Linked DNA regions of Macaca fascicularis. The protein of the gene in region 5 interacts with the protein of the main gene of each other region in a pairwise test. Links are inferred from orthologs where the notes say so. Each region holds a gene or a part of one and is shown on either strand. Other genes may lie near its edges. The genes, in order: CCDC106, TUFM, LYRM2, TRMT61B, FAM9B, RUSC1 and CHRAC1.

The links.
Region 1: the proteins of FAM9B (region 5) and CCDC106 interact in binary tests that used the Homo sapiens proteins (3 or more experiments, as listed by UniProt). The two-hybrid records come from large-scale screens. The link is inferred for Macaca fascicularis from reciprocal best matches to the Homo sapiens genes FAM9B and CCDC106.
Region 2: the proteins of FAM9B (region 5) and TUFM interact in binary tests that used the Homo sapiens proteins (3 or more experiments, as listed by UniProt). The two-hybrid records come from large-scale screens. The link is inferred for Macaca fascicularis from reciprocal best matches to the Homo sapiens genes FAM9B and TUFM.
Region 3: the proteins of FAM9B (region 5) and LYRM2 interact in binary tests that used the Homo sapiens proteins (3 or more experiments, as listed by UniProt). The two-hybrid records come from large-scale screens. The link is inferred for Macaca fascicularis from reciprocal best matches to the Homo sapiens genes FAM9B and LYRM2.
Region 4: the proteins of FAM9B (region 5) and TRMT61B interact in binary tests that used the Homo sapiens proteins (3 or more experiments, as listed by UniProt). The two-hybrid records come from large-scale screens. The link is inferred for Macaca fascicularis from reciprocal best matches to the Homo sapiens genes FAM9B and TRMT61B.
Region 6: the proteins of FAM9B (region 5) and RUSC1 interact in binary tests that used the Homo sapiens proteins (3 or more experiments, as listed by UniProt). The two-hybrid records come from large-scale screens. The link is inferred for Macaca fascicularis from reciprocal best matches to the Homo sapiens genes FAM9B and RUSC1.
Region 7: the proteins of FAM9B (region 5) and CHRAC1 interact in binary tests that used the Homo sapiens proteins (3 or more experiments, as listed by UniProt). The two-hybrid records come from large-scale screens. The link is inferred for Macaca fascicularis from reciprocal best matches to the Homo sapiens genes FAM9B and CHRAC1.

What each region holds. Positions count from the first base shown.
Region 1 is NC_088393.1:63,605,755-63,608,671, reverse strand, and holds the end of CCDC106 (coiled-coil domain-containing protein 106), read right to left. Parts: intron 2,139-2,917; coding exon 1,926-2,138; intron 1,257-1,925; coding exon 940-1,256; 3' UTR 501-939; downstream 1-500. UniProt on the Homo sapiens protein: Promotes the degradation of p53/TP53 protein and inhibits its transactivity.
Region 2 is NC_088394.1:27,625,553-27,629,510, reverse strand, and holds the start of TUFM (elongation factor Tu, mitochondrial), read right to left. Parts: upstream 2,801-3,958; 5' UTR 2,722-2,800; coding exon 2,670-2,721; intron 2,558-2,669; coding exon 2,363-2,557; intron 2,053-2,362; coding exon 1,886-2,052; intron 1,628-1,885; coding exon 1,523-1,627; intron 1,435-1,522; coding exon 1,270-1,434; intron 1,124-1,269; coding exon 991-1,123; intron 907-990; coding exon 802-906; intron 674-801; coding exon 522-673; intron 427-521; coding exon 307-426; intron 1-306. UniProt on the Homo sapiens protein: GTP hydrolase that promotes the GTP-dependent binding of aminoacyl-tRNA to the A-site of ribosomes during protein biosynthesis. Also plays a role in the regulation of autophagy and innate immunity.
Region 3 is NC_088378.1:85,747,372-85,751,445, reverse strand, and holds the start of LYRM2 (LYR motif-containing protein 2), read right to left. Parts: upstream 2,801-4,074; 5' UTR 2,775-2,800; coding exon of another isoform or gene 2,730-2,774; 5' UTR 2,598-2,729; coding exon 2,460-2,597; intron 1,946-2,459; coding exon 1,805-1,945; intron 1,438-1,804; coding exon 1,357-1,437; 3' UTR 1-1,356. UniProt on the Homo sapiens protein: Involved in efficient integration of the N-module into mitochondrial respiratory chain complex I.
Region 4 is NC_088387.1:93,349,334-93,353,473, reverse strand, and holds the start of TRMT61B (tRNA (adenine(58)-N(1))-methyltransferase, mitochondrial), read right to left. Parts: upstream 2,801-4,140; 5' UTR 2,791-2,800; coding exon 2,092-2,790; exon of another isoform or gene 2,073-2,091; intron 1,480-2,072; coding exon of another isoform or gene 1,450-1,479; exon of another isoform or gene 1,328-1,449; intron 1-1,327.
Region 5 is NC_088395.1:8,685,657-8,689,801, forward strand, and holds the start of FAM9B (protein FAM9B), read right to left. Parts: upstream 2,801-4,145; 5' UTR 2,516-2,800; intron 1,759-2,515; 5' UTR 1,670-1,758; coding exon 1,642-1,669; intron 1,140-1,641; coding exon 1,019-1,139; intron 840-1,018; coding exon 808-839; intron 1-807. UniProt on the Homo sapiens protein: May play a role in meiosis.
Region 6 is NC_088375.1:105,801,481-105,805,509, reverse strand, and holds the start of RUSC1 (AP-4 complex accessory subunit RUSC1), read left to right. Parts: upstream 1-1,229; 5' UTR 1,230-1,300; exon of another isoform or gene 1,301-1,994; 5' UTR 1,995-2,080; coding exon 2,081-3,446; intron 3,447-3,717; coding exon 3,718-4,029. Other genes in the region: FDPS (farnesyl pyrophosphate synthase), read left to right, coding at 78-212, 704-904. UniProt on the Homo sapiens protein: Associates with the adapter-like complex 4 (AP-4) and may therefore play a role in vesicular trafficking of proteins at the trans-Golgi network. Signaling adapter which plays a role in neuronal differentiation.
Region 7 is NC_088382.1:150,110,869-150,114,927, reverse strand, and holds the start of CHRAC1 (chromatin accessibility complex protein 1), read right to left. Parts: upstream 2,801-4,059; 5' UTR 2,760-2,800; coding exon 2,613-2,759; intron 1-2,612. UniProt on the Homo sapiens protein: Forms a complex with DNA polymerase epsilon subunit POLE3 and binds naked DNA, which is then incorporated into chromatin, aided by the nucleosome remodeling activity of ISWI/SNF2H and ACF1.

The DNA.
Region 1 (2,917 bases), on a different chromosome or scaffold from region 5:
TACTTTTTTTTTTTTTTTTTTTTTGCGACGGAGACTCTATCGCCCAGGCTAGAGTGCAGTGGCCAGATCTCGGCTCACTGGAACCTCCGCCTGCTGGGTTCAAGCGATTTTCCTGCCTCAGCCTCCCGAGTAGCTGGGACACCTGGCTAATTTTTTGTATTTTTAGTAGAGATAGGGTTTCACTGTGTTAGCCAGGACGGTCTCGATCTCCTGAACTCGTGATCCGCCTGCCTCGGCCTCCCAAAGCGCTGGGATTACAGGCGTGAGCCACCGCACCCGGCTGTGTCCGCGCTTCTTTTCCAGAGCTCTGCCTCCAAGATTTCAGGGGCACAGCTGTTTCTCCGTCTCTGCCTCCGGGGGGCTAATTACACCCTGTCCTACCCGGCCTCCCGCCTGACCGCCCACCCCCTTGGAAGCCCCAGCAACCCCATCACCGTCGTCGGGGCGACGGCCTCCCCCTCCCAGGCACGTCCCCCTCCTAGGAAAAGGCTGAGGCCCAGTTTATTCCAAATTTTCACGTCGTTTTTTAATTTAAATTCTCTGAATAATTCTCTGTCTCGCGCGGAGTTGGGGAGGTCTGTCCGGGAATCAGGTGGGCAGCTCCTCCGCGGGGCTGGGGCGGAGACGGGGTCTATACAGTCCCCCACCCGAGAGGGGGGCGGCACCCTCCTGCCTGGTTGATTTCCAGGAGGAAGGGGTCCGGCGAGGACAGGGCTGGGCAGCCCAAGCGGAAGGGGATGCCGGCGTTCGGGAAGGGGCTGCGGCCGGCCCTGGGCCGTCGCGCTTGGGGGCCGGGCTAAGGGAGCCCCCAACCCAGGGAGTGAGGAGGAGGGGCAGGGGCGCGGCAGGGAGAGGCGCAGGTCATCCACCGGGGGCCTGGGGAGGGCCGGGGTCGGCGGGGGAGGAAGGCCCGGGCGGAGGCGCGGAGGCGTGGTGCGATCACCGCTTGAAGCGGTAGGTGATGGGCAGCAGCAGCTTGCTCTTCTTGAGCGCCTGCACCTTCTTGAGCGTCTCGTCGTCCAGGGCCAGAAAGCAGCGACGGGAGTACTCGAGCAGGCGCTCCTTGGAGGGGTCGAACTCGCCCACCTCGGCCAGCTTCTCGGGGGCCACAATGAGCAGCTCGGCGATGGGCGTGGTCAGCGCCACGGTGTTCCTGTCCACGCGGTGGTGCTCGAAGGCCCGCGACATGCTCTTGAGCTTCTGGAAGGTGCCCAGGATCTTCTTGTACCGGCAGAGGACCCCGTCGGCGTCCTTCACTGCGGGGCGGAGGCGGGGACACGGAAGTGAGGAGCAGGGGCCAAGACCGAGGGGGCGGACACGGGAAGGGAAACGGCCATGGGAAGGAAGGATCCCGGCGAGCAGAGGCACTGGCGGTGCAGGAGGATACGGAGAACAGGGAAGGGAGGGGCGGAGAGGAGGGGAAGAAGCGCAGCCAGTACTTGGACCAGTGGGAAATGGGAAGAGGCAGGCCCAGGAAGGGGGGTGAGGAGAGAACATGAGCCGAGAGGCCGGGTTCAACCAACGCGGTCCCAGCAACAACACCGCCCCCCCCGCCCGCCTCTCCACCACGCCCAGCCATCACCCTCACCTCCCTGCCTCAGGTGAATTCACTTATTCAAGCCTCACCCGCCCCGAGGTAGGTCCTACTGCGCACCTCCTTCTTACCGATGAAGGTTAAGGAGGTGCCCAAGGTGGCCCTGCCCTCGAGGGTTCACCAAAACTTAAAGTAGACCCAGGACAGGCCAGGCGCTATGGCTCACGCCTTGTAATCCCAGGATTACAAGGGAGGAGGGAGAGACAGAACCCGGTGGGTCTTTCTCCAGCAAAGCTGGAGGGGCTTGGAGAGAAAGGAGGGCCTCTGGGAAGGACACACAGCAATTCAGCAGCCCAGGCCCCTCAGCGCCCGCGCCATGCACCTCACCCACCTCGCTGCCTCTCCCGGGCCTTGGGCTTCCCAAAGCGCCTCCGACTAGCACCTCCCCTCTGCTTCTGCCGCCTCCTCTCGCTGGCGCTGCCTTCTTCGGAGGCTCCACTGAGGGAGGAGGCTGCTGACTCAGGGTCCGAGGCCTCGCCCCCAGCCCCACCCCGGCTGTCCCCCTCCATCCGCCTGGGCCCAGGCTTCATCCGGCAGTGGTCCTCTGGGGAGAGAGACACACACGTGAACTATGGGACCAGACATCCCATCACAGGTCCTGGGACTGAGAGAGGCTGCAGTCCCCAGTACTGGATCCCCCAACCTGGGCTGGTCCCCTGAAGAAACGGACAGGGAGGACAGTAGAGATGCTGGTGGCTGAGTAGAGCCTGCTGGGGTCTGTGGGAGGTAGTAATGGGTGCAGCATTTTCTCAGAGGCTTGGGTTGGCAAGAGGTCTTGGGGAGGCAGCCGACCAGGGACCTCAGGACCCCTGTGAGTATATGCGGTTCCCACAGGGGAGGGAGAGATTTCTGGGGACTGGGTGGGACCTCCGGAGAGTGGCCTCTGTAAACCCAGGAGGCAGGCCAGGCCTTGGCTGGAGTCGGGGGGTCAGACCCTGAGAGAAATCAGGGGTCCTGGGTCCAGCAGGATGAGTTCCACCTCCATCTAGACAGAGGGAGCTGGCTGGCGGAGGCCCAGACACAGGGTCCTCTAGAAGGCGGCTTAGGAGAGGGGTCTGGTGCCAGGGTCCCCACTGGGAAAGTGCCGAGGCCGCAGGACCAAACCATCTGTGCAAAGGAGTCAGTCACCCAGCATGGAGCCATCAGTGGGAGGAGACAGTGGCAGGCAAGGGCAGTCAGAGGCGGTTTGTTCCAGAGCAGAGGGAAGGCCAGATCCCCAGATGCTGGGTTCCCAGTAACAGACACCACGAGACCATAGGCCCCTTGCCCAAGTTTTTGAGGGAAAAGGTTGAATTCACAAAGAGAGATGTGGGAGTTTTTGAG
Region 2 (3,958 bases), on a different chromosome or scaffold from region 5:
CCTAAGCTTTCATACATAGTGAAACTCTCAGAAAGAAGAGACTTTTTCTAGGAAATCTTTCTGTGGGTACATGCTGGCAGAGCTAAGCTTTTAACCTGCTTCAGCTTAGGGCACGCTGGATGAGGACTCCCGCCCCTAAGTCCATGGGCCATGCCCCTTCTGTTGGCTAGCAGCGACAAGCAGCCCCTTTCCACCTAAGGAAATAAAGTCACTTGGGTTGTCACAGTGTGTCTTTGGAACTATGAGTGAAGCAAAGGTGATATAAAAAGTGCTCCCTCCACCCTACATTTCTCCCACCCACCGTACCTTCTCTGGGGGCAGGATAACCCGACAGGCCATGTCCCAAGTCAGGGAGAACATGATAGGCATGAAGTGGGACACAAAGGGCTTGTGGCGGCCACCTTCCTCCTTGCTGAGGATGTAAACCTGGAGGAGAGTGAACAATGAGGGTGAGATGGGCTCGGCTGGAATGCTGGGGACAGCTTGGCTCAGCCCTGCCCACCGTCACCTGGAGCCCTCACCTGGGCCTCCACCTTCTGGTGGGGCTTGATGGAACCCGGCTTGACCATGACCAGGCCCCGCCGCAAGTCCTCCCGCTTCAAGCCTCGAACCAGGGCCCCGAGGTTATCTCCGGCCTCGGCCCTCTCCAGGTTCTTGTGGAACATCTCAATGCCTAGGAGGAAAGGGGAAAAGGAGTGGGGAGAAGGAAGGCGAGTGTAAGATGGAGGGAAGGTACAAGGGATCTGCCGGGGTAAGGCCATCCTGCAGTCAGCCCCTGGTCCCCAGGCTGGCTTCCCGTACCTGTCACCACAGTGCGGATGTTCTTGCTGTGTCCTAGGAGCTCACACTCGTCTCCCTTCTTTAAAATGCCACGCTCTAGCGTACCTGTCACCACAGTGCCACGGCCTGAGAGGGAATAAGACAGGACATCAGGGACCCCGAGCTAGGCTGCTGCTAGAGAGAGTGCGTGGGAACAGGCAGAGTCCTCACCAGGGACGGAGAACACCCCCTCTACAGGCAGCAGGAAAGGCTTCTCCAGGTCCCGGGTGGGCACTGGGATGTAAGTGTCCACAGCATCCAGTAGCTTCTGCACAGACTTCAGGCCTAATTCAGGGTCCCGACCCTGTTGAGGGGAAGCAACAGGACTCTGAAATCCCCATTCTACTCCCCTCGATTATCAAGAGCCACTTCCCAGACACAAAGCAGAGCTCTGGGTGCCCATCTAGCCCCACCCTCTGCAGCAGCCACCCTGCCTGACCCGGCCTTCACCTCAAGGGCACAGAGAGCAGAGCCTACGATGACTGGGGTCGCCTCCCCTTTATAGCCAAACTCGGTGAGCAGCTCCCGGATCTCCAGCTCCACCAGCTCCACCATCTCAGAGTCCTGGACAGCATCAGCCTTGTTCACATACACCACCACATGCTCCACCCCAATCTGTAGACAGCAGAGAGACAGGGACAGTATCCAGAGGGGCCCAACTCCCCACTCTTCCCCTCTGCACCTTTACCCAGGCTCTGAGTACCTGTCTGGCCAGTAATAAGTGCTCTCGGGTCTGGGGCATGGGGCCATCATTGGCTGCTACAACCAGGATGCAGCCGTCGAGGGGTGCAGTGCCTGTGATCATATTCTGGGGAGGAGGAGGAGAGGAAACAGCCAAGTTCAACGAGCTTTTCAGTCCACATCCATATAGGCAAGTGTAGCAGTTAGAATCTCAGGCCCACCTTTCTCTATCATCTCCTCACCACCCATTCTGAGTGGCCATGGCCACAAACCTGCCATCTCATATCCAAACACTGAATATTTTAATCTCCTCCCCACAAGCCTAACATTTATCCTGACAAGAGGCAGCTTCTGGCCCTGTCTCCAGTGTCCCAGCAACCCTCACCTTAACATAATCTGCATGACCCGGGCAGTCTGTGTGGGCGTAGTGGCGGGCGGCAGTGCTATACTCCACATGGGCCGCATTGATGGTGATACCCCGAGCTCGCTCCTCCGGGGCATTGTCAATCTCCTCATACTTCTTGAATTTAGCCCCACCTCCCTCGGCTAGAACTAAAGGAGAAAGAGAACACACCTCTCAGCTAAAGTTGCAGTGCTAGAGGCAGAGCTTAGACCACGCCCCTGAGCCCTCCCACCTAAATACATAACCTCCTCCAATCTCTAACTCTTCCAGCAGAGATAACTGTGGGTCAGAAAGAATGTTAGGGGGCCTTTAGGGTCTGCCCTGTGACTTCTTTGGGGTACAGCCTCTGCTCTTGGAGCCACAGTAAACACCTCCAGCAGACACTCTGCTAGCCTTGCCCCCCTGGCTCCAGGTCCCATCAGTAGATAAGGCGCTACTGGACGCCCCAACCCCACTCACTCTTCGTGATGGCTGCAGTCAGCGTGGTCTTGCCGTGGTCCACATGGCCGATGGTACCCACATTCACATGTGGCTTGTCGCGCACGTAAGTCTTCTTGGCCTCCACGGCCAGGCCGCGGCACAAGAGAGGCAATGCCGGAGTCTTCAGCGGCCGCAACAGACCCTGCAGCAGGAAGGTCCGGCCGGTGGCGAGACCTGCCGGGACCGAAGCTTGGAAGTCAGGCAGGGCAGGGGTCAGACCGAACCCAGCCACCTACCACACCCCCAAAGTGTTCCTGGGCCGCCATCGCCCTCCCCGACTCCTCACCGCTGAAGTGGGGCGTCGCGCGCAGCAGGGTGGCTGCCGCCATTGTGGTCATACTCGCGCCCCAGGAACCGGGGAACGGGGCCCAGGAGCCCGAGCGTGCAGCAGAGAAAGGGCGCCTGCGGCAGGAAGGCACTTCCGACGGAAGTAAGGACTGGGAGGGCAAGTCCGGGCCCCTCTAGCCGCCAGTGTCTATGGCCGTCTCCGCCGACGTCGGGCGCGCGGTTGAAGACGTCATGGAGGGGGCTGGTGTCTCGGGGGCGGAGAATGATGGAGAGGGTTTCCACCACTCGGGCCTCACGGGCTGAGGGGCAACGTAGTTCTCTCTGTCGGTCGCGGGGGGCACTGGGGAGCGTCCCCTAAAGCACCGGCGCCGCGAAGGCTCATGGGCGTACTAGTTGTCAGGGCGACGGGCTGTGGAGGTGCTCAGCATGGGAGTCAGGCGGGCTAGGCCGGACCCGGAGGGAGGGACTCGGGCTCGGGGAGGCAGCTGCGGCTCCGACTGCTCAGGAACCAGCTGGGCCCGGCAGAGAGAGACCCCGAGTCGTCTGGAGTCCGACTCGCTACCCGGGTCTTGCGAGATATCTGGCCCCTTCTGCCGTAGCTGGAGGTAGGGGACCAGGTCCTGGACGCCTTTCGGGGATGGGGTGAAGTGTGACCTCTCTCTCCGCTGAGGCTTTGTTTTCTAATCTGTAAAATGGGAATAGTAGGATCCACTTCATAGGGAGAGCCTGACCTCTGGCCCTGAGAGGAGATTAACTGGGTAGGAGTCAGGGTTGGGCCCCGTGAGGTCAGGCAGCTTGCTGGGACCTTGTACTGCTAGACCTCACAGGGCCAGAGCCCACAAGACAGACAGCTTCGCTGCCCAACCCTGTAGCCCCTCAGCAGCCTAAGGAGCAATTCCTTTGGGCATCGCGCCACCCATCTAATTTTGCAGATGAGGAGCCAAGGATGAGGAGCCAGCTAGGGGAGTCTTTAAGGGCAGCCTGAGTCTCCTTTATTCTGTCTGTGGCCCCAGCACCTAACAGGGTGGAGCATGCAGTGAACGTTGAATTAATGAGTGCAAGGGTAGTCAATGTCCCTTAACTTCCACATCCATCATCTTATGGCAGCTTCCACATGGCACTCCGAAGTGTTAATTGTGGTTGCTTAACCCTGATTTATGTTTCGGAACTCATCAGATCCTGAGACTCAGTGGACAGTGTTGCAAAGATTCCCTAATTCCTTCCCTGGAGATATGATTCCGTCGGGTCTATGCACGGACTGGGAAGCTATGTAACAAACACCCTTCC
Region 3 (4,074 bases), on a different chromosome or scaffold from region 5:
CTCATTAAGCTTCTCTTTCTCTTCTCTTTCCAGCAAAGATCTAGATGCCCAGTGGTGATCTTTTTGATGAGTCCTCTACCAAACTATGACACATGTGAAGAACGTATCTGAACAACCCTCAGGGATAATGCAGGATTTTTCGGGAAAGTTCCAGGGTATCTCCTGGTGTCAGTATACTTTCAGTCCTACGCCTCAGAGTATTTTTTTTTTTAATAACAGCTTTATTGAGATACAACTCATACCTTACATTTAAAATGTACAATTCAGTGGATTTGAGTGTATTCAGAGTTGTGCAGCCTACACCACAAGCTAACTGTAGTATATTTTCATCACCCTGAAAAGGAACCCTACACCCATTAGCAGTTACTCCATTTCATCTACAGCAAGCCTAGGCAACCACTAATCTTCCTGCCTATTCTGGACATTTCATATGAATGGAATCATCATGTGATCTTTTGTGACTGGCTTCTTTCACTTAACGTTTTCAAGGTTTATCCATGTTTAGCATAGTTTAACATATATAAGTCATTTGTTTCTTTTTAGTGCCAAATAATAGCTATGGGCATAGGAGTAGAATGGCTAAATCATACAGCAGCTGTTTCATGTTTTGAGGAACTGACAGTCTGTTTTCTGAAGTGGCTACACCATTTTACATTCATTCCCACCAGCAATGTATGAGGGTTCTCTAATTTCTGTACATCTTCACCAACACTTACTATTATTTCTCTTTTTAATTACAGCCATTCTAGTGAATGTGAATTTCAGGTTTTTTTTTTTTTTTTTTTTTGGAGAGTCTCACTCTGTCACCCAGGCTGAAGTGCAGTGGCACGATCTCAGCTCACTGCAACCTGCACTTCCTGGGTTCAAGTGATTCTCCTGCCTCAGCCTCCCAAGTAGCTGGGACTACAGGCATGCACCACCACGCCAAGCTAATTGTTGTATTTTTAGTAGAGATGAGGTTTCACCATGTTGGCCAGGCTGGTCTTGAACTCCTGACCTCAAGTGATCCACCTACCTCAGCCTCCTAAAGTACTGGGATTATAAGCGTGAGCCACTGTACTCAGCCTCCTAGTAGTTTTGATTTATACTTCCCTAATGATTGTGTCCAGCATCTACTGGCCATTTGTTAGTGGTTTTTTCTTCTTTTAAAAACTGCTGAGACATCCATAAACATTTTCAAAATGCAGGGTATGTTTTTCAGTGTTAAGGCAACTGTTTTGATGTGTTTTCCTTTGCTGTCTATCACCAAATACTGTACATACAAATAGAAAGACTGGGCTTTGTGTTGTCCATTGTTAATCCTAAATGCAACGAAACACATGGAGACTTTGAAAATCCTTCAGAATAATGCTATAGTTAAGATTTTGCTAAAGCAAGTGATTTTTCTAACTCCTTGAGCTGCATATTGCCTTGAGTAATCATCATCCGGATTGTATCCTGTAGAATAAAGTGAAATCTGGTTATTGTTTTACCTGGTTAAACAAGGTATAGCTATACCGTTTTTTTGTTAAAATCAACAACCAATAGTACGTATTTGAACTGCTGTCTTTTAGAAAAGACGAAAGATTTCCACATACATACACATAAAACGTACAACATAAAAGTCGTGATAATGCTGAAGAGTGTCGATACAGCAATATTAAATTTTAAAACATCATTTAAAATCGGTAACATTACAAGCAATGATCAAGATATACCAACTCAGTGGCACTATATTCCAAGATGTCTGCTAAACTTAAAAAAAAAAAATTCACTGATCAATAAAAAGGGTTAGGATCTGTCCTCGCCATGATTTTGTTCTCACCTCTTCGGTGGCACTTTTGTTTCTTTTGAATTCTTCCCTTGCCCAATCCTTCAGGTATTTGCGATCAGAATCATTTGGAACTTGCCGAATTGTTTGCAAAATCCTTCTGTAGAGGAGAAGAACTTGTTGCCTTCTTATGAACTGTAAAAGGGAGGAGCAATAGCAATTACTTCTGCACAATCGCCAGCCTGAAAAGTTCTACTTCAGCAAACCGAGCTGCAACCAGAGTCCTCGTTGGTCAATTTTGAAAAAGGCAAAGAAAAACTTTTTTCTTTTTCCGCCAGGTGCAGTGGCTCAGGCCTGTAATCCCAGCAGTTTCGAGGCCAAGATGGGAGGACCACTTGAGCCCAGGAGGTCTAAGCTGAGGTAAGCCCTCATTGTGCCACTGCACTCAGCCTGCACGAGAGTGAGGCCCTGTCTCAAAAAGATGTTTTAAAGAAAGCATCACGAGGTTCATCTGATCTTTCTGCTTACTGCTCTGTCAAATCTAAGAACCATTAAAAAATCAGCTGACTACCGGGATGAAAAGGGCTGCCAGTCTCCTAGAAGTTGTTATTACAACGACAGCACTTTTTCTAAATTAACAGTTGTTCAAATCTTTGGTAATCTCATTTGCCGTTTGCTACAGCTCAGTGCAATAGAGAGTAGTCTTTACCGTGGGCACTGAGCAGCTGATGCACCGGGACTCCGGGAAATCAAGCACCTGACGCGTCTCACGCGACCGCACCAAACCAAGCAAGCCGCCCGTGCCTCCCGTCAGGCCCCGCGAAGCGAAGCACCGCCCCGCAGGCATCGGGCCAATCTCAGAGGGCGCGCACGGCGCGTCAGGACCCCGGAACCCGCCCCGTTGGGTGGAGGGAGAGATGGAGAATCCAGAAGCTCAGACCCAGGTAAGCTGCTCTGGAAGGCAGAGAACCGCCGGTACCTGCTTTAACGTTAGCGTCGCTGGGGGTAAGCGGGAGGCAGCCATGTCAGCCAGAGATCTGCCGGAGCCTCAGCGCGCAGAAGCGGAAGTGGAGTCCAACCAAGGGGTGTGGCGAGCCCGGTTTCCTAGGAGACGGCCCGGGGTTGCGCTCTGACTGAGCGCGAGACTTCGGGACTGAGCCCTAGGGTTAGGAGCTGGTTATGGGCTGCGCTGGCCGGTTTTCTCGTCGGTAAAATAGGATAGCAGTGCACCATAGGGTCGTTGCGATAACGAAAGAAAGGTAGGACACTTAGCACAGTTCTTGGTAAAGAGTGTTCAAATGAAAGTGAAGGAGGCCGCGCAGTGGCTCTTGCCTGCAGTCCCAAGACCTTTGAGAGGCCTGTAAGGTGCCTGTAATCCCAGCTCCCCGGGATGCTGAGGCGGGAGAATCGCTTGAACCCGGGAAGTGGAGGTTGCAGTGAGCCGAGATCGCACCACTGCACTCCAGCCTGGGCGAGAGCGAGACCCTGTCTCGGGAAAAAAAAAAAAAAAAAAAAAAGTTAAGGTTTTTTTGGGGGAAAGAGGTGAAAACGTATTTGAATGTTCTTTCGAGCCTTTAAAAATGTGTATAGTTGAAAATACTAAAATTGAAAGTGTTGATTTCTTTTACAATTTTTGTTGGTTTTTTCTCTCTCGTTTTCGTCCTGTTCTTTTGTAGCGCAAGCGTTTTCCGGGAGCGGTGGTCTTCATGATCCTTTGAAACAAAGCTTCTGAATGGCTGCTCCACTGCAGTCTTAAGCACTTTCATCACTAATAACGAGGAGCCTAACATCCCTAAGCCTCAGGCTTTTGCTTTTATTTCCTCATAGCTGTTTTATCTTTCCCACAATACACACCACACACCTTCAGGTTAAATCACCAGAAGTGGAGTTAGCGAATCTTTGCTATATTAATTTTCCAAGTAGTGTTGTATCGAATTAAAATAAAACCAAAAATTTCATTCAATTTTTAGTTTACTGGGGACTTGCCTGCCTCGCCTGTTGGCATCCTGGGGCTCCCTATTCCTAGCTATGTTCTGGCTATTTCCCCTCTCCTGGCCTGTTACCTCCCCTGTAAAATGAAATACAGCATCTACCTCAGTTGTGTATCTCTAATGTACTGAGAACAGGTCCTGGCACATGTAAGAACTCTAATCATTGGTTCTTTTGAACTTTACCAGGCATTGTATGAATGATGCTAACTGCATGACCATCTTATCAATAATATATATATCAAATTTTGTCTAATACATTAGCTGTAATAGTTAACTAACTTTTTAAAAGGAGTGAAGTTAAATACCCCTTGCCTTTTAAAATTATACTGATTT
Region 4 (4,140 bases), on a different chromosome or scaffold from region 5:
GCTATAAAGAGAAGTCAACACCTAACAAATTTAGTACTTAAATTCCTCCTTAGAGTAGAACAATGTGACTTATATCTGTAACAAATGGAAAGGCAGAAAGTACACTAAGGATGCCTATTTATAACTTCATGAAATGTAACTAATCTTTCTTCATTTTGTCTAATGGGGAGAAAGGAGACATGGGGAAGCAAGATAAAATTACAAAAGTCTTTAGTTTTCTTCAAGAGCTTACGATACCATGGCCAGGAGCGGTCATTCTCACCTGTAATCCCGGCACCCTCAAGGGAGGATCCCTTGAGCCTAGAGAAGTTTGAGACCAGTCTGGGCAAGTTAGGGTGACCCCAACACTAAAAAAAAAATTTTTTTTTTGATTAGCTATAGTGGCATACACCTGTGGTCCCAGCTACTCAGGAGGTTGAGGTGTGAGAATTGTTGGAGCCCGGGAGGTTGAGGCTACAGTAAGAGGTGATTGAGCCACTGCACTTTAGCCTGGGTGATATAGCAAGACCCTGTCTTTAAAAAAAAAGCTTATTATACCTCAGTAGCCTAAGCTTCTGAGGAAAGTTTTCTTAGTCCCTGGGTAGACCATTTAAAATACAGACTGGATTCCTACTCAGAAACTTCTAATGGTCCTTCACTACAAATGGAATAAAATACTCAAACCACACCTCATAGAGGGACCCTCATCTGACCCAGAGGCCACAACAGAAACTCTGCAGTATTCCTCCCTTTGCAAGAACAATTCTTATCCTAGATCTTTACAAGGCAAGCTCTTCCTTATTTAGGTTTCCTATCAAGTGTACCTCCTTGGAGACCATCTCTACTCACCTGACATAAAGTATGCTCGTACCCCAGGTCACCCCAATGTCATTGTTAATGTATTTGTCTTCATGACACTTAATACTACTGGAAATGACCTTATTCTTTCATTTACTTGTTTGTTCTTTGTCACCCCTTCTAGAATGTAAGGTCTATGTTGAGAGTGAGGACTGCAGTTCAACACTATACTTCCCTAAATAGTGCCTTGAGTATGTAAGGCAGTCAATCATTTGCTGAATAAATAATGAACGAATCCTGATCTGGAGAAAGGAGGAGTTGTGTTACACAGGAACATTCTACTCAAGGACTGTGACTGTGACTAAGGATTGAAATAATCTGCTAGCAATAGATGATTAGCATAAACTTCAAACTAGGGCTGGGCGCGGTGGCTCCCGCCTGTAATCCCAGCACTGGGAGGCAGAGGTGGGCGGATCACTTGAGGCCAGGAGTTGAAGACCAGCCTGGGCAAAAAGGTGAAACCCCTGCCGCCCCCCGCCCCGCCCCCGTCTCTACAAAAATTAGCCCGGGGTGGTGGCACATGCCTGTAGTCCCAGGTACTCAGGGGGCTGTGGTGGGAGAATCGCTTGAACCTGGGAGGCAGAGGTTGCAGTGAGCCAAGATCGCAACATTTCACTCCAGCCTGAATGACACGGTGAGAACCTGTCTCAAAAAAAAAAACAAAAACAAAAACAAAAACAAAAACTGAAACTAGGCTTTAGGCAGTTAACTTTTTAATAAAGACGTCATTTTATGTTTGGTGTTGAATGTTAGCTATTTTAACATAAAACTCTATTTCTTCCCTAAAGGAAAAAGCACCATAATGTATCTACTGTTGATAAAATATACTCTTGTAACATGATTATTAAATATTATTAAAATATCATCATAGTAGTACTAAAAAATTGTTCCCTAAGAGTTCAACATTCTCTTGAGTCCTGAAGTTGTAAACTTAAGAGTAATGGGGAACAAAATTAGTACTTACTATGTACCTAATGAGTTCACATCACCCTAACAGAAAGTTGAAATATTATCCACATTTTAAAAAAAGGGGAATCGAGACTCCCAAGTTAAAATTAAAATCTGGGCGTTTCCTAATGCTAATTTTCATCATGATATGTAAAAGTTATATCCATTGGTTTATCTTAAAAGCCTGAGTACAATAAAAAATCCAAACGTTCTGAGATATGCTTTGAGTACATTAATCAGGACTGAGTACTGCATCTGTCTTTGCTCCTCCTGGAAACAATACACACCTTATCTCCATCACATTACCTTTGGGACTGTTATGGCAGTCCCTCTTTTCATCAATAATACATAGTCTTCCAATGCTGGCCTCCTCAGCGTGAACTGCTTACCCAAGGAACTCCTCAGTATCTGGCCGGGAAACTTGCCCACGATCTTGCTGAACGGGACTGCCCCCCAGCTACTATTTAAGAGTCCAACTTTGTTCAATCTAAATAATTTCTTAAATTGTGTTTCTCTCTTCTCAGTCTCAGCTAAAATCAGTTCCCCAACCTGAAAGGGTCTCTGTCTGGAAGTTGAACAAGAAGGGGAGACGTGAGGCTCTTCGATCTCGGTAGCAGACTGGGCCTGCGAGAGCATCGAAGGATCCTCGGATATCTGGTGTGCCGGACCGCACCGGCCCTGGTCTCCACTCGAGTCCTCGCGCTCTCGAGGGGATGACTCTTCCCGCGGAGTAGGCAGTCTGAGGTTTTCCAGTGACGAAAGACATCCGGTCCCAATGTCCGAGATGCTCAGAGGGAGAGATGGGCAAGACTCTGCTCCTGGGGCTTTCCTTTGTGCCGCCTCGTGCTCTCTTTCTCCGTCTCGCAGGTCTCTAGGCGAGGACCTGCAACACAGTGACTGAGCTCCTTCGAAGGGCTCTTGCCCTAGGCCGCGCAAGAATGAATTGGTTCCGAGTCCCTGCCGCACGCAGAGCAAGACAGGACCGCTGCACCTTGCCATCAGCATGGTGTTTTGCGCAGGCGCCGTCGCAGACGAGTGACGCAACCTAGCGCGACCCTTCCTTTCCCTGTCGCGCGCATGGCGCAGCAGCCCGACGGCGCCCGCGTCGGGGAGGGGGCGGTGCGCTAGGTCGAGCAGTGGCGCCGGAGCAGCGACGTTCTGGTTGAGTGACCATCAAGGAGTATGTCCTTGCGCGCGGGCGCCCGTTTTCCTTTTCGGAATGTGGGTAAATAATTTACCGCTGGCCGGGCGCGGTGGCTCAAGCCTGTAATCCCAGCACTTTGGGAGGCCAAGGCGGGCGGATCACCTGAGGTCGGGAGTTCGAGACCAGTCTGACCAACTGGAGAAACCACGTCTCTACTAAAAATACAAAATTAGGCAGGCGTGGTGGCACATGCCTGTAATCCCAGCTACTAGAGAGGCCGAGGCAGGAGAATCGCGTGAACCTGGGAGGCAGAGGTTGCGGTGAGCCGAGATCGCGCAGTTAGACTCCAGCCCGGGCAACAAGGGGAAACTCCGTCTCAAAATAAATAAATAAATAAATAAATTTACCGCTAACAGACGTCCTCCAGGTTCGCTGGCGGTCAGGAAGATTGAGACAAAACTTACAGCGCTGTGCAAACTGAAATGCCAGGCTTAGCACGCTAGTGTCTTGAACACGGACATCACCTAGTCACCCCCAAGATATACGTATGAGTAGAGCTAATCCGGAGATGCATTTGACAAACGGCGTGGGACGCTCCAGTTGCTGATTGGCTCTCCTTTCCCAGTTGACTGCGACATCTCCCAGCCCCAAGTCCCTTTTGAAGGGGCTGTGACAGCCTGCCGGTCCCCTCACCCACCCCTCACGCCCGGAGAGTCCGAGAAGGTCGATTAGAGTACTCACTATGTGCTTATGTAACAGATGTTTTCATTATTAAAATATAACTAGTTTACCCTCCCAAAACTAAATAGAAGTGTCTTAAAATGGAAACAGGTATCTTTGGAGGCCAAAGTTATCTAACGTTAAATATCACTAGCCTACCCGCATTTTGGGAAGCCGAGGCAAGCGGCTCATTTGAAGTCAGGAGTTCGGGACCAGCCTGGTCAACACGGTGAAACCCCGTCTCTACTAAAAATACAAAAATTAGCTGGGCGTGGTGGCACGCACCTGTAATCCCAGCTACTCGGGAGGCTGAGGCAGGAGAATCTCTTGAACTCGGGAGGCAGAGGTTGCGGTGAGCTTAGATCCCTGCAATGCACTCCAGCCTGGGCGACAGAGCAAAACTCCTCTCAGGGAAAAAAAATTAGTCGGGCGCGATGGTGCACGCCTGTAATACCAGCACATTGGGAGGCTGAGGCGGGGGGATCACAAGG
Region 5 (4,145 bases):
CTATAACAGTGCAACTAATATTTCACACAGCAATATAAAGTTTATGAGTTTTTGGATCCAATTACATGTTTCTCACTAGATAGAAAAGTTGTCCTTACTTTTGTACTACACAGTTTATTACTGGAATAATAATAGAAAATGATTTTAGAGAATTCAATTTTCTCTTGTACTTCAAATAAAACAAAATCAGAAAGCTGTGACAATAGAATAGCTAAATTAAGAACATGAAAAACTCTTATTAAAAACTCTGAGTACATATGGACAGGAAGAAGGGACCAACAGACAACTGGGCCTACTTGAGAGTGGAGGGTAGGAGGAGGGTGAGGATCAAAAACCACCCATCAGGTACTATGCTTATAACCTGGGTGACAAAATAATCTGTATACCAAAACCCTGTGACATGCAATTTATCTATATAACACACCTGCACATGTACCCCCAAACTTAAAGTGAAAGCTTAAAAAAAACCTGATATATGACTTAATCTGCGTACACTAAAAGGAACGAATAGAGCTATTTCTCCTCCAATGTCCTCTAATATTCTCCAAACAATTAAATTTCCACGTGTATGAAAGAAAAGCCATCCATCTCGCTTCACCATTATTAGAAGCATTCTCACATTCCACATCAACAATCAAAGAGGTAAGAAAAATTTATCAAACAGATTACATTAAATACGTATGTTAAATGCTACATATGATAAGCCATTTAAGACAGTCTTGTCATCCACTGATTCATATAACTTACTGCAACAGTTGCATGATTGAAAACAATTTTCATAAACGACAGATAACTCCTAAAATATACCTGCAGTATCTTCTGGCTTCTTGGTATTAGCCCTGTAAAAAAAGTTACATCAAAATTTTAGCATAATACTACACAAAATGCCATGTTTGTTGGGAAAAGAAATGTCTTATGTGAAATGTTCTGCACAGAATAGAACAGTGATGACATGGTCCAAAGGTGACTTTTCCTAAAAGACCCTATCCGACAGGCAAAAGTGACTTAAACACTTTACCCCGTGTGCTCGTCTTTTTCAGCAAAAGGTTCTCTTTCCCCATGCTCATCAGTTACATCTTCCTCCCTTGTTTCTGTAAAAGGGTTTCTTTCCTCACATTCGTCACTGACTGGATCCTTTCCTGCATTAAAATTTAAAAGACAAACCTTTTTTAGAGGAAGACACTGTTGTGGACTTTTTTTGTGGAGAAATGTACTAGTTGTAGACTTTTTTTTTTTTTTTTTTTTTTTGGCTATCTGCCAATTAAGGCTTTAAAGCAGAGCTGTACATGGAATCACCGGCTTCTGACCATTTTATCAAGGCACTTTTGGAAGCCCTTCGGGTTCAAGTCCCAGTAAACAACGTACTACACGTCAGACCCCTTGGATGTCATGACTGCACTCATGGAGAAGAGCTGCTCTGGGAGCATCTGTAACCCCGCTATGAGGGGAGCCTTTTACGGGAAGCCTAAGGCCCTTGAGCCTGCTTTGAAAACCTGGGGCATCTTAGCACGTGCACGATGGACTCCAAAGCCACGAAGGGGCCCGGGTCCTTGGGCTACCCCTGTGCCCCCAGCGCAGAAAGCAGACAGACCGTCCTCTTGGGCGTGCACTTTCTTCCGGGTCACCTTGGGCTGTATTTACCTGCACGCTCCTTCCCCTGGGCCGCCATAAATTGAGCCTCCAACTGGGCCTTGGCAGCCCTCCTGCCCACAGGATCCGTGGCTGGCTGTCCTGGGAAGCTACAGGTGATCCCTGAACCTGATGAGGGCAAAGGCACACTAAGGAAGCAAAGGAACCCTGGCATCGGAAAGGAAAGCCATTGGGATCACAGGTTTAAGAAGGGTGGGGCTGGCACGCCCTGGGCCTCCTGTGGGAGCAGGAGGGGACCGAAAAGATGCCAGTGTCCCCTCCTGTCCTGGCCCGTCCAGCCCGTCCAGCCCGTCCCCGGGGCTGGCTGCAGAGCTCACAGCTGCCCCTCACACCTGAACTCCACGGCGTCTGCGGGATCCTCGCCGCACCTTTGGGACAGAACTCAGCCCTACCTCTGGGTCCCCCAGCGACCCCGTGTGGCTGGGAGGGCCACCGGGTGACACAGGATCTCCCCAGCCACCTCCAGAGGAATGTCAGGGGCTGCACTGTCACTCACCCGCCTGGATGCACAGGGGACCCCTGATGACCCCAAGTGTCCTGTCCTGACGGGAGGCCGGGCAGGAGGGCCCCACTCAGACTGTCCCCAACAACACCCTCGCCCCACCCCCACTTCCCCCCACCTTCCGCACCTCCCCCCAACACATGCACAAGCCCTCCTGGGCCCTAGGGATCACCCAGGCGGCTCCAGCTCCCTCCCTGCCCTGGCCCACCCCAGCCCACCCTCAGGGCCTCGCCCTGACCCAGGCCCCAGGCGACCACGCCAGGGGCATTTCCTCACAGGTCAGCGGGCGGCCCAGCGCTTCACACCCTGGTTCCCAGAGGGCCTCGTGCCTGCGTTTCCGCCTCCCCACCGCGAGCGCTTCACCTGAGGGACCCCTGATGTGGCGCCCTCAAAGAACCTGCAGACAACAGCACCACTAGGATCTCTTAGAAAACGGGTCCTCTCAGGAGGCTGAGGCAGAATGATTGCTTGACCCCGGGAGGCGGAAGTTGCAGTGAGCCCAGATCGCGCGGCTGCACTGCAGCCTGGGCGGCAAGAGCCAGACTGTCTCAAAAAACAAAAAACAAAAAACAAAAAAGAAAACAAGTACTCAGTTCTCGTGAGAGCTGCCGACAGCACTTCCTACGCTCCTCGCAGATTGGTCGACTCAGTGCACATGCGTGTGACAGGCCGTGTGGGGCCACGCCCCCTGCTGGCACGCCCTCCCCCTTCCCCTAAGTGACAGCAAGTGGTTGCTGTGGACTGAGGTGGGGTTGGCCCTTTGGGGCCTCTGTTCCCACATTCTTTCAGCTTCTGCTCCTGGGGAGGGACACAGGACTTGGTATGGAGGCCAAGTGGACAGGGCCTAGAACCTCGCCCTGGGGCTCTTTCCAGCCACCCCTGCCCCTTTGGCTAGAATGGCCATCATCCTATGGGTTGGGCCCAGGCTCCCTCCCATGCCCTGTGTGCTTCCAACATGCCCAGCTGCATCCTTTTCAATCAATGGATTGTGCTTTTATTGTTTTTGTTTGTTTTTGAGACTGTGTCTCACTCTATCGCCTAGGCTGGAGTGCAGCAGGGTGATCTCAGCTCACTGCAACCTCCGCTTCCCGGGTTCAAGTGATTCTCCTGCCTCAGCCTCCCAAGGAGCTGGAATTACAGGAGCCCAACACCAAGCCCTGCTAATTTTTTTTTTTTTTTTAGTAGAGACGAGGTTTCACCATGTTGTCCAGGCTGGTGTCAAACTCCTGACCTCAGTTGATCTGCACGCCTTGGCCTCCCAAAGTGCTAGGATTACAGGCATGAGCCACCGTGCCCTGCCCATAACCATTTTTGTTTCCTCACTACTTTTCTTTCTCATCCTCATGCCCCAGACTTGCCCACAAACCCTCATGCTCCAGACTTATCCAGACATATGCCACAACCTTCACCCACAAATTAATGCCTTAATACTTATCGTTAACTCAGCTTTTTCCCACCTCCAGTCGCCTATAATAGGGGGAGAGTTGTTTTGGAGTTAGGAGTAAATAAATATTGCCTAAAGTTTGTAAATCAAGATATAGAGTTTCATTATATTATTGAAATTATATCCCAGCACTTTGGGAGGCTGAGACGGGCAGATCACAAGGTCAGGAGATCGAGACCATCCTGACTAACACGGTGAAACCCTGGCGACAGAGCGAGACTCCACCTCAAAAAAAAAGAAAAGAAAAGAAATTACAAAGGCAGTCATCAGGAAAACTAATCCACAGCCTTAAATGTCTATATAACCAAAAAGAGCACACACAAAGAACACAAATCCTGTAGTAAAAGTTGGAAAATAAAGAAAATACTCCAGAGACCATAACATAAAGGAACAAAATTAAGGCCAAGTGAATCTGTTGAGCAAGAAATATGAATGAGATAAACTCAGAATCTAAAGGAAATGACTTCCAACTTGGATCAAAATAAAAATCTAAGTATATGCTGTATGTAAGAATGGAGCTAAAACAAAATGATACAAAAAATACATGTC
Region 6 (4,029 bases), on a different chromosome or scaffold from region 5:
ACAGGCACCAGCTTCACTCCTCCTCTGCCTAGGAACCTCATCCTTCCTCCTTTGCTGCCCTCCCCCTTCCCGCCCAGGATGACTACCTTGACCTCTTTGGGGACCCCAGTGTGACCGGCAAAGTTGGCACTGACATCCAGGACAACAAATGCAGCTGGCTGGTGGTTCAGTGTCTGCAACGGGCCACTCCGGAACAGTACCAGATCCTGAAGGTGCCTGAGAGAGGGTGGTGGGTCCCTGAGCTGGTGGAAAGGGATAGAGTAGTGGTTCTCAATTGGAGGCAGTTTTTCTCCCGAGGGGACATTTGGCAATGTCAGCAGACATTTTTTGTCATCGTCATCACAACTCTGTGTGTGTGCATGTGGTACAGCCATCTAGCTGGCAGGAGCCAAAGATGTTGCCAAACATGTAGCACACAGAACAGCTCCCCCAGACAGGATTATCTGGCCCCAAATTTCAATAGTGCCAAGGCTGAGAAACCCTGGAGTAGAGGACACCTGGTCTGAGGCAATATGTAGGGAATATTTGGGATAGGGAAGGGAAGCTTGGGATCCTAGCTACCTAGAAACACTTGAAAATTGGAGGGAGGAAAGGAGTGGGTGGCTTTGGAGATGTTCTGAAATATGAGAATGAGGGGAGTGGAGGGGTCCTGGAGGCTCTGGGGAAGGCCAAGCCCGTTTTCCTGTCTTCCAACCCCTTTTAGGAAAATTACGGGCAGAAGGAGGCTGAGAAAGTGGCCCGGGTGAAGGCACTATATGAGGAGCTGGATCTGCAGGCTGTGTTCTTGCAATATGAGGAGGACAGTTACAGCCACATTATGGCTCTCATTGAACAGTACGCAGCGCCCCTGCCCCCAGCCATCTTTCTGGGGCTTGCGCGCAAAATCTACAAGCGGAAAAAGTGACCTAGAGATTGCAAGGGTGGGGAGAGGAGGCTCTCAATAAATAATTGTGTAACCTTTTTGTGGTTCTGTTCTTGCTCGGCGCAGCCAGAGTCTGGCTCTTTCCAGAATGTGCGGGGTGGGGTGCTGGGAGGACTCGCTGCACAGAAGCGGGACCCAGGGGCCTTGGCATCAGGGCCAAAAGCTTGGGATACATCAAACCCGCTAGGTGGGTGACACAAGACGCTAAGCGCTGGGGGCGGGTCTGAGCTACGCCACGCCCATGCGCGAAGGGGTGCAGATGCGCTGCGCAGAGTGGGTTGTGCTAGTGCCCCTCCCCTCCCGCTCTGTGCCCCGCCGGGCGGGGACCGTGGGAGCCGAGGACAAGCCCAAGGCCGGAGCGGTTCCAGGAGGACCCTGGTGAGGAGGGCTCGGCCCATGGGTGTAGACCGATGGACCAGGGCACGAGGGGCGGGGCAGGACAAGGGAGCAGGAGAAATGAATAGAGAAGGGGTGCGGTGGTGACTGAACGATGGAGACGAATGCGGAGAGAATGGACATAACGCTGTTCTGAGGGGCGAGGGCGCAGGCTGGAGCCCGGCGGAGGCAGCCAGCAGATGTGGAGTTGACGAGCTGACGGCTGCTCCATCCTTTTCCTCTCCAGCTCCTACCCCTTTCCTGCATTCACCAGGCAAACTCTGCATATCGACCCACCCCCATCCCCCGCCTCCTTTCAGGGCATCTGGGTGGGTCTCCCTGGGTCCCTTCCTGTGGGAGTAAGGGGTAGGCAGGAGGGCAGGGCCAGATTGCGGCAGCAGGGACCCGGAGGTCCATTCTGGGCCCGGACCTGTTCCGGGCCCCCGCCCCCCTTCGGAAATCCAGAGCGCAGCCGCGTTCTCTGACCCTCCCGGCTCCATTCCCGGAGGGTTACATTCGACTCCACCTGCAAACACTGCAGTGGAAACTAATGGCCAGTCGATTGCGATTTGCATCTCATTGAAATATCTTCCAAAGCAGCCAGAGCCTTCAGGCCTGCTGCTGCCGTCAGTCACCTCAGTGTCCTTCCCGCAGCTCCTGTCCTCACTGGCTGGGCTTCGCCACCCCTGTCTTCTAGGTCTGCACCTGTGGTTGCCAGGTAGGTGGATGTGAGAGACCCTACCCTCCTGGTTCTCTAGAAGCCATCCCATCGCCGCTGGCACCATGCTGTCTCCTCAGAGAGCTTTACTCTGCAACCTCAATCACATCCATCTCCAGCACGTCTCCCTGGGCCTGCACTTGTCCCGCCGTCCTGAGCTACGGGAAGGGCCCTTGAGCACATCCCCTCCCCCAGGAGACACTGGGGGCAAGGAGAGCAGGGGCCCCTGCAGTGGCACCCTGGTGGACGCCAATTCCAACAGCCCAGCTGTGCCCTGCCGGTGCTGCCAGGAGCACGGTCCGGGCCTAGAAAACCGGCAGGACCCATCACAGGAGGAAGAGGGGGCTGCCTCTCCCTCAGACCCAGGCTGCTCTTCCTCGCTCAGCTCCTGCTCAGATCTTAGCCCCGATGAGTCCCCCGTCTCAGTCTACTTGCGGGACCTCCCTGGTGATGAGGATGCCCACCCTCAGCCCAGTATCATCCCCCTGGAGCAAGGTTCCCCACTGGCTTCAGCAGGCCCTGGCACCTGCTCACCGGACAGCTTCTGCTGCTCTCCTGATTCCTGCTCCGGAGCTTCTTCTTCACCCGATCCTGGCCTGGACTCGAACTGCAACGCCCTGACCACCTGCCAGGACCTCCCTTCCCCAGGCTTGGAGGAAGAGGATGAGAGCGCGGAGCAGGATCTCCCTACCTCTGAGCTCTTAGAGGCGGATGATGGGAAAATCGACACTGGGAAAACGGAGCCCAGTTGGAAGATTAACCCAATTTGGAAAATTGACACAGAGAAAACTAAAGCTGAATGGAAAACCACGGAAAACAGTAACACTGGTTGGAAAAACAACGGGAATGTTAACTCTAGCTGGAAAAATGAACCTGAAAAATTCGACTCTGGTTGGAAAACCAACACAAGAATAACTGATTCTGGCTCGAAAACAGATGCAGGGAAAATTGATGGAGGATGGAGAAGTGACGTCAGCGAGGAGCCGGTGCCCCACCGGACAATCACGTCCTTCCACGAGCTGGCCCAGAAGCGCAAGCGGGGCCCAGGGCTGCCCCTCGTCCCGCAGGCCAAGAAAGATCGCAGTGACTGGCTCATAGTCTTCTCGCCCGACACCGAGCTGCCCCCCTCGGGGTCGCTGGGCGGCTCCTCGGCACCTCCTCGGGAAGTCACCACCTTCAAGGAACTCCGGTCCCGAAGCCGGGCCCCACCCCCGCCAGTCCCGCCTCGAGACCCCCCAGCTGGCTGGGCTTTGGTCCCGCCCCGGCCCCCACCCCCGCCTGTCCCTCCCCGAAGGAAGAAGAACCGACCTGGACTGCAGCCCATAGCGGAGGGGCAGTCCGAGGAGGGCCGGGCTGTCAGCCCAGCGGCTGGCGAGGAGGCCCCAGCCGCGAAGGAGCCGGGAGAGCCGGGCGCGCAGGCCGGCCTGGAGGGTAAGAGGTCGCAAGAAGCGGGAGGAGGGCTGGGCTTCGGCCGCTCACGCCTCCTAGGCTTCCAACCCGGCCCCCTGTCTTCCCTCCATTCTGTGTCACCCATCCTCCCCGCCCCTTCTACCAGGGAGCGCTCCGGGAAAGGGAAACTGGGTGGGTCATTGGGTTACGGGACTAACTCTTTGCTCCCTCTTCTTCCCGCCCCTCCTTGCCTGGCTGCCCATCCCGCTGCCCTCCTTCCCTCTGCGCCTGGCCCCGCCAATCCCGCCTGCAGCCGGTCCCCTCCTGCTCCCTCGGCCCCTGGTTTTCCGGTTCTCGGCCGACGGGCGCCCCCTGTTGGAGGGTGGGGGCGCAGGCGCAGCTGGGTCTCTGCTCCTGGCTCCTCTGGCCGGGTGGCCTGGCGCCGGGCTGCGGCTGCTGGGGGCGCCGAGCCCCCCAGAGGAGCAGCTGCTGCCCGTCCGCCTGTCCCCAGTGGGAGCCTATTCGCCTCCGACTCGGGGAGCCTTGCCCTGCCTGGCCAGCCCCGAGCTGGCACTGCTGCTGTCCCCGCTCTTTCCCAGAAGTAGCACCTTCCCCGCCGCGGCTC
Region 7 (4,059 bases), on a different chromosome or scaffold from region 5:
CTTAAAATTACATTAAGACTTCAGATTATCTTGGTTTCTTAAATTACAAGAAATCACTGCGGAGGCCGGGTGTGGTGGCTCAACACTTTGGAAGGCTGAGGCAGTCGGATCAGTTGAGGTCAGGAGTTTGAGATCACACTGGCCAACATGGTGAAACCCCATCTCTATTAAAAATAAAAAATTAGCTGGGCATGGTGGCAGGTGCCTGTAATCCCAGCCACTTGAGAGGCTGAGGCAGGAGAATCGCTTGAACCTGGGAAGTGGAGGTTGGAGGTTGCAGCACTCTAGCCTGGGCGAGACTCCGTCTCAAAAAAAAAAAAAAAAGAAAAGAAAGAAATCAATCACTGGGGAAAAGAAAAACATGAGGTCAGAAAGAAAGCAAAGCCGGTATCAAAACTGGCAGAGAAGCAGGCATTTTCCAGAGGCTTTAGATGTCTAACTTATGAAAAAGATTAATCATAACTGTTTAATGGCCAACCTCTAGAGTAAAAAAAGAAGCGGCCAGCAGTGCTGGCTCACACCTGTAATCCCAGCACTTTGGGAGGCCGAGGCGGGTGGATCACAAGGTCAGGAAATCGAGACCATCCTGGCTAACACGGTGAAACCCCGTCTCTACTAAAAATACGAAATCAAAATTAGCTGGGCATGGTGGCGGACGCCCGTAGTCCCACCTACTGGGTAGGCTGAGGCAGGAGAATGGCGTGAACCCGGGAGGCGGAGCTTGCAGTGAGCCGAGATCGCGCCACTGCACTCCAGCCTGGGAGACAGAGCGAGACTGTCTCAAAAAAGAAAGAAAAGAAGCAAAAAGCCATTCAAAAATTCTATTTGGCTCAGTAATACATTTTTAGTCTTCTATTTGCATACACTGTTTCTAAGGTGGTTCACCTACAACTATAGTGACCACAACTCACATTTTGCCGAAACTTTTCTATTCTAGAAACTAACGTACAATCCTCAGACCTAATGCAACAACCGGAACTGATCATCTTCTCCCTCCTGCACCCCAGTTCTTATAGCAGGCCCAAGTCTTCATTTTTACAGAGGCTGAACTGAGCCTTTCTCAAGGTTTTGACTTTAATGCATCTAGTTCAGTTAATAAGGGATGAGAAAGACAGGCATGGTGGCCTGTAATCCCAGCAGTTTGGGAGGCTGAGGCAGACGGATCACGAGAGGTCAGGAGTTCAAGACCAACTTGGGCAACATGGTGAAACCCTGTCTCTACCAAAAAGTACAAAAATTAGCCAAGTGTGATGGCAAGCACCTGTAATCCCAGCTACTCAGGAGGCTGAGGCAGGAGAATCACTTGAACCCGGGAGGCAGAGGTTGCAGTGAGCCGAGATCACGCCACTGCACTCCAGCCTGGGCAACTCCATCTCAGAAAATAAGGGATCAGAAGTGCCTGCATAAATCCTCATTCCTTAATACCAACAGAATGAAACTGTACAGGAAAACACAAATGCCCCCAGATGACCCCAGGGTCACTTTCCCTCTGGCTGTTTGTGGCGTAGGTGCAATAATTGCTGAATATGCAATTATTTCCCTGGGCTCTAGGAAAACATGGCTCTGATATAAAGCGGGCAAGAAACCTGTAATTTCCCACTTCCCTTAGTTCTAGTCCAATACTGTCGGAACATCATATACTTAACTACAAGTAGGGACTGGAAAATGGAATCCAAGGCAAGCCAAAGCATTTAACTGTGTAGCTGAAACATGGCCCAGTTTCAGAACAGGAAAACATCTGGCCTAACACTATCAAGACGCAATTTCTTAAAAAAAGACAAAATTAACTATTTTGCACCCAAGAGGATGCTAAACAGGCTGTAAAACTAAGTTCCCTGGACTTCCTTAAATTCTGGTTGCGGTATGTGCTGCCTCTTAAGACGAGGGGCCAGGTGTGGCGGGCGGGTGGGCTCGAAAGCCTCGGACCGCTGGAGCTGGCACCGCACCTACGGGGAAAAAAGCCTCGAGTGGCGGGTGAAGCGCCTGGCTGCACCTCCCACGGGACATTGGAGGAGTCAGGGTCCCCAAAGCACGAAGCAGGCCAGTGACGAGAAAAGGAACGCCGGGAGTGGGAATCTCGGGCGAAAAAGCCCCCAAAAAAACCTAACGAGAAAAGCGCCACTCGACACCGACGCCCACGGGTAGAGCCGGAAACTGCGAGCCGCACGCGAGGGAGGACGGGAGCGTACAGGTAGGCGGGACGAAAGGCACGCAGAGGAACGCGGGAGTTTACAGGTTTGCCGGACGGAAGCGCGCGAGAAATGGCGGGAGGACAGTGGGGTGGGAGGGGCGAAGGTGCACAAGGAAGGGAGGGGCGGGCGGAGCGAAGGAAGGAGAGAAAGGGCGGGAGAGGCGCGCGGTAGGCGGGGCGAAAAAACTCGGGAACCGGAGGGAGCGGCGCGGGGTGGGCGGGGCGAAGACGCGCGAGAAAGTGTAGGGGCGCGGGGGCACCGTGGCGCGCGCCGGCGTGGGACGGGGACAGCGGGGCGCGCGCGAGCCCAGCAAGGGCAGCCGGCGGCGCGCGGGCCCAAGGGGAATGGGCAGTGCCCGGAGCCCGGCGGGGCGGGGCGCGACGGGTAAGGGCGGCTCACACCCCCGCCCTACCCCCTCACCGTGGCCTTGGCTGTGAGCACCAACGCCTCCTGGTTGATGCTGGACACCTCGGGGGAGCTCTTCATGATGACCCGGATGCGGGATAGAGGCAGCGAGATGAGCCGCTGCTCCCCGCACTTGTCTTTGCCCACGACCACGTCCGCCATCTTCCCGCCCCTCGCGCGGGCGGCAGCCGGCGGGCCCGACTGCTAAGTGGCTGCCTTGCCGGCCAGCCGGTGGGTGCGGGGAGCCGCGCCCGCTGCCCCGTGGGAGTTGTAGTGTGGGGAGGCGCCGCCGCGAGGCCTGGAGCGGCCCGTCCGGGAGACTACGAGCTCCGTGATGCCTCGCGCGCCCCATCTGCGCATGCGCCGCCCTTCGGCTCCTCCCCCCCAACCGAGTGTGTGACCTGATGTGGAGCCAGGAGTCCAGAGTCTAGTGAGGGGCGGGGGTCGGGGCGCTGCGGGGGCGCGCACTTCTCGGGAGTCTCCGAGCTGCGATCGCGGACTACGATTTTGATCCGGGTGAGGGCTCTGCGAATGGGCAAGCAAAACCCTCTGAGTCCGGGCCTCGTCGCTCGGTGCTGTGTGTTAAGGGCCTGCGCTGTGCTAGGACCGGGCGTGCCGCCGTGGGCAAAAGTGACGCTTTCCTGAAGCACAAATTTCTGGGGGGGCGACCAAGCGGCAGCAGATGCGTCCTGCGCCGGTAGCCACGCGGCCGGTGGAAGAGCAGAGACCAGCACGGGCCATGCGGCGGGGCCGGGCTTGCTGCACCGCTCTGCGCTGCGGGGTGATGGGGAGAGGCGCCTTCATTGGGGGTGAAGGGCGGGGAGCTGCCCGGAGGAGGTCCTAGAGCCTGGTGGGAACAGCCTCTTCGGGGCTGCTCCGAGAGACGGTGTGCAGAGCCTGGCGTGCTCGCTGAGGTCTGACAGGCAGCCCGGGGCTAGGTCCTGTTGGTTTTTTTTTTTTATCTAAAAAAAAAAATGGGAAGTCGTGGTAGGGTTTGAGCAAAGGAGTCCCGGGCAGTTTTTTTTTTTTTTTGAGACGGAGTCTCGCTGCGTCGCCCAGGCTGGAGTGCAGTGGCCGGATCTCAGCTCAGTGCAAGCTCCGCCTCCCGGGTTCACGCCATTCTCCTGCCTCAGCCTCCCGCGTGGCTGGGACTACAGGCGCCCGCCAACACGCCCGGCTAATTTTTTGTATTTTTTAGTAGAGACGGGGTTTCACTGGGTTAGCCAGGATGGTCTCGATCTCCTGACCTCATGATCCGCCCGTCTCAGCCTCCCAAAGTGCTGGGATTACAGGCTTGAGCCACCGCGCCCGGCCCGGGCAGTTTTTAAAGGATCCCTGCAGCTGCGGGCTGGGAGGGGGTGGGTGCGCTTAAGGGCGGAGTCACAGAGACCAGGTAGAAGATGATTACGAGAACCCAGGAACTTGGCCCTCAGGAGGCCGGCGGTACCAAGGGGACAGCAGC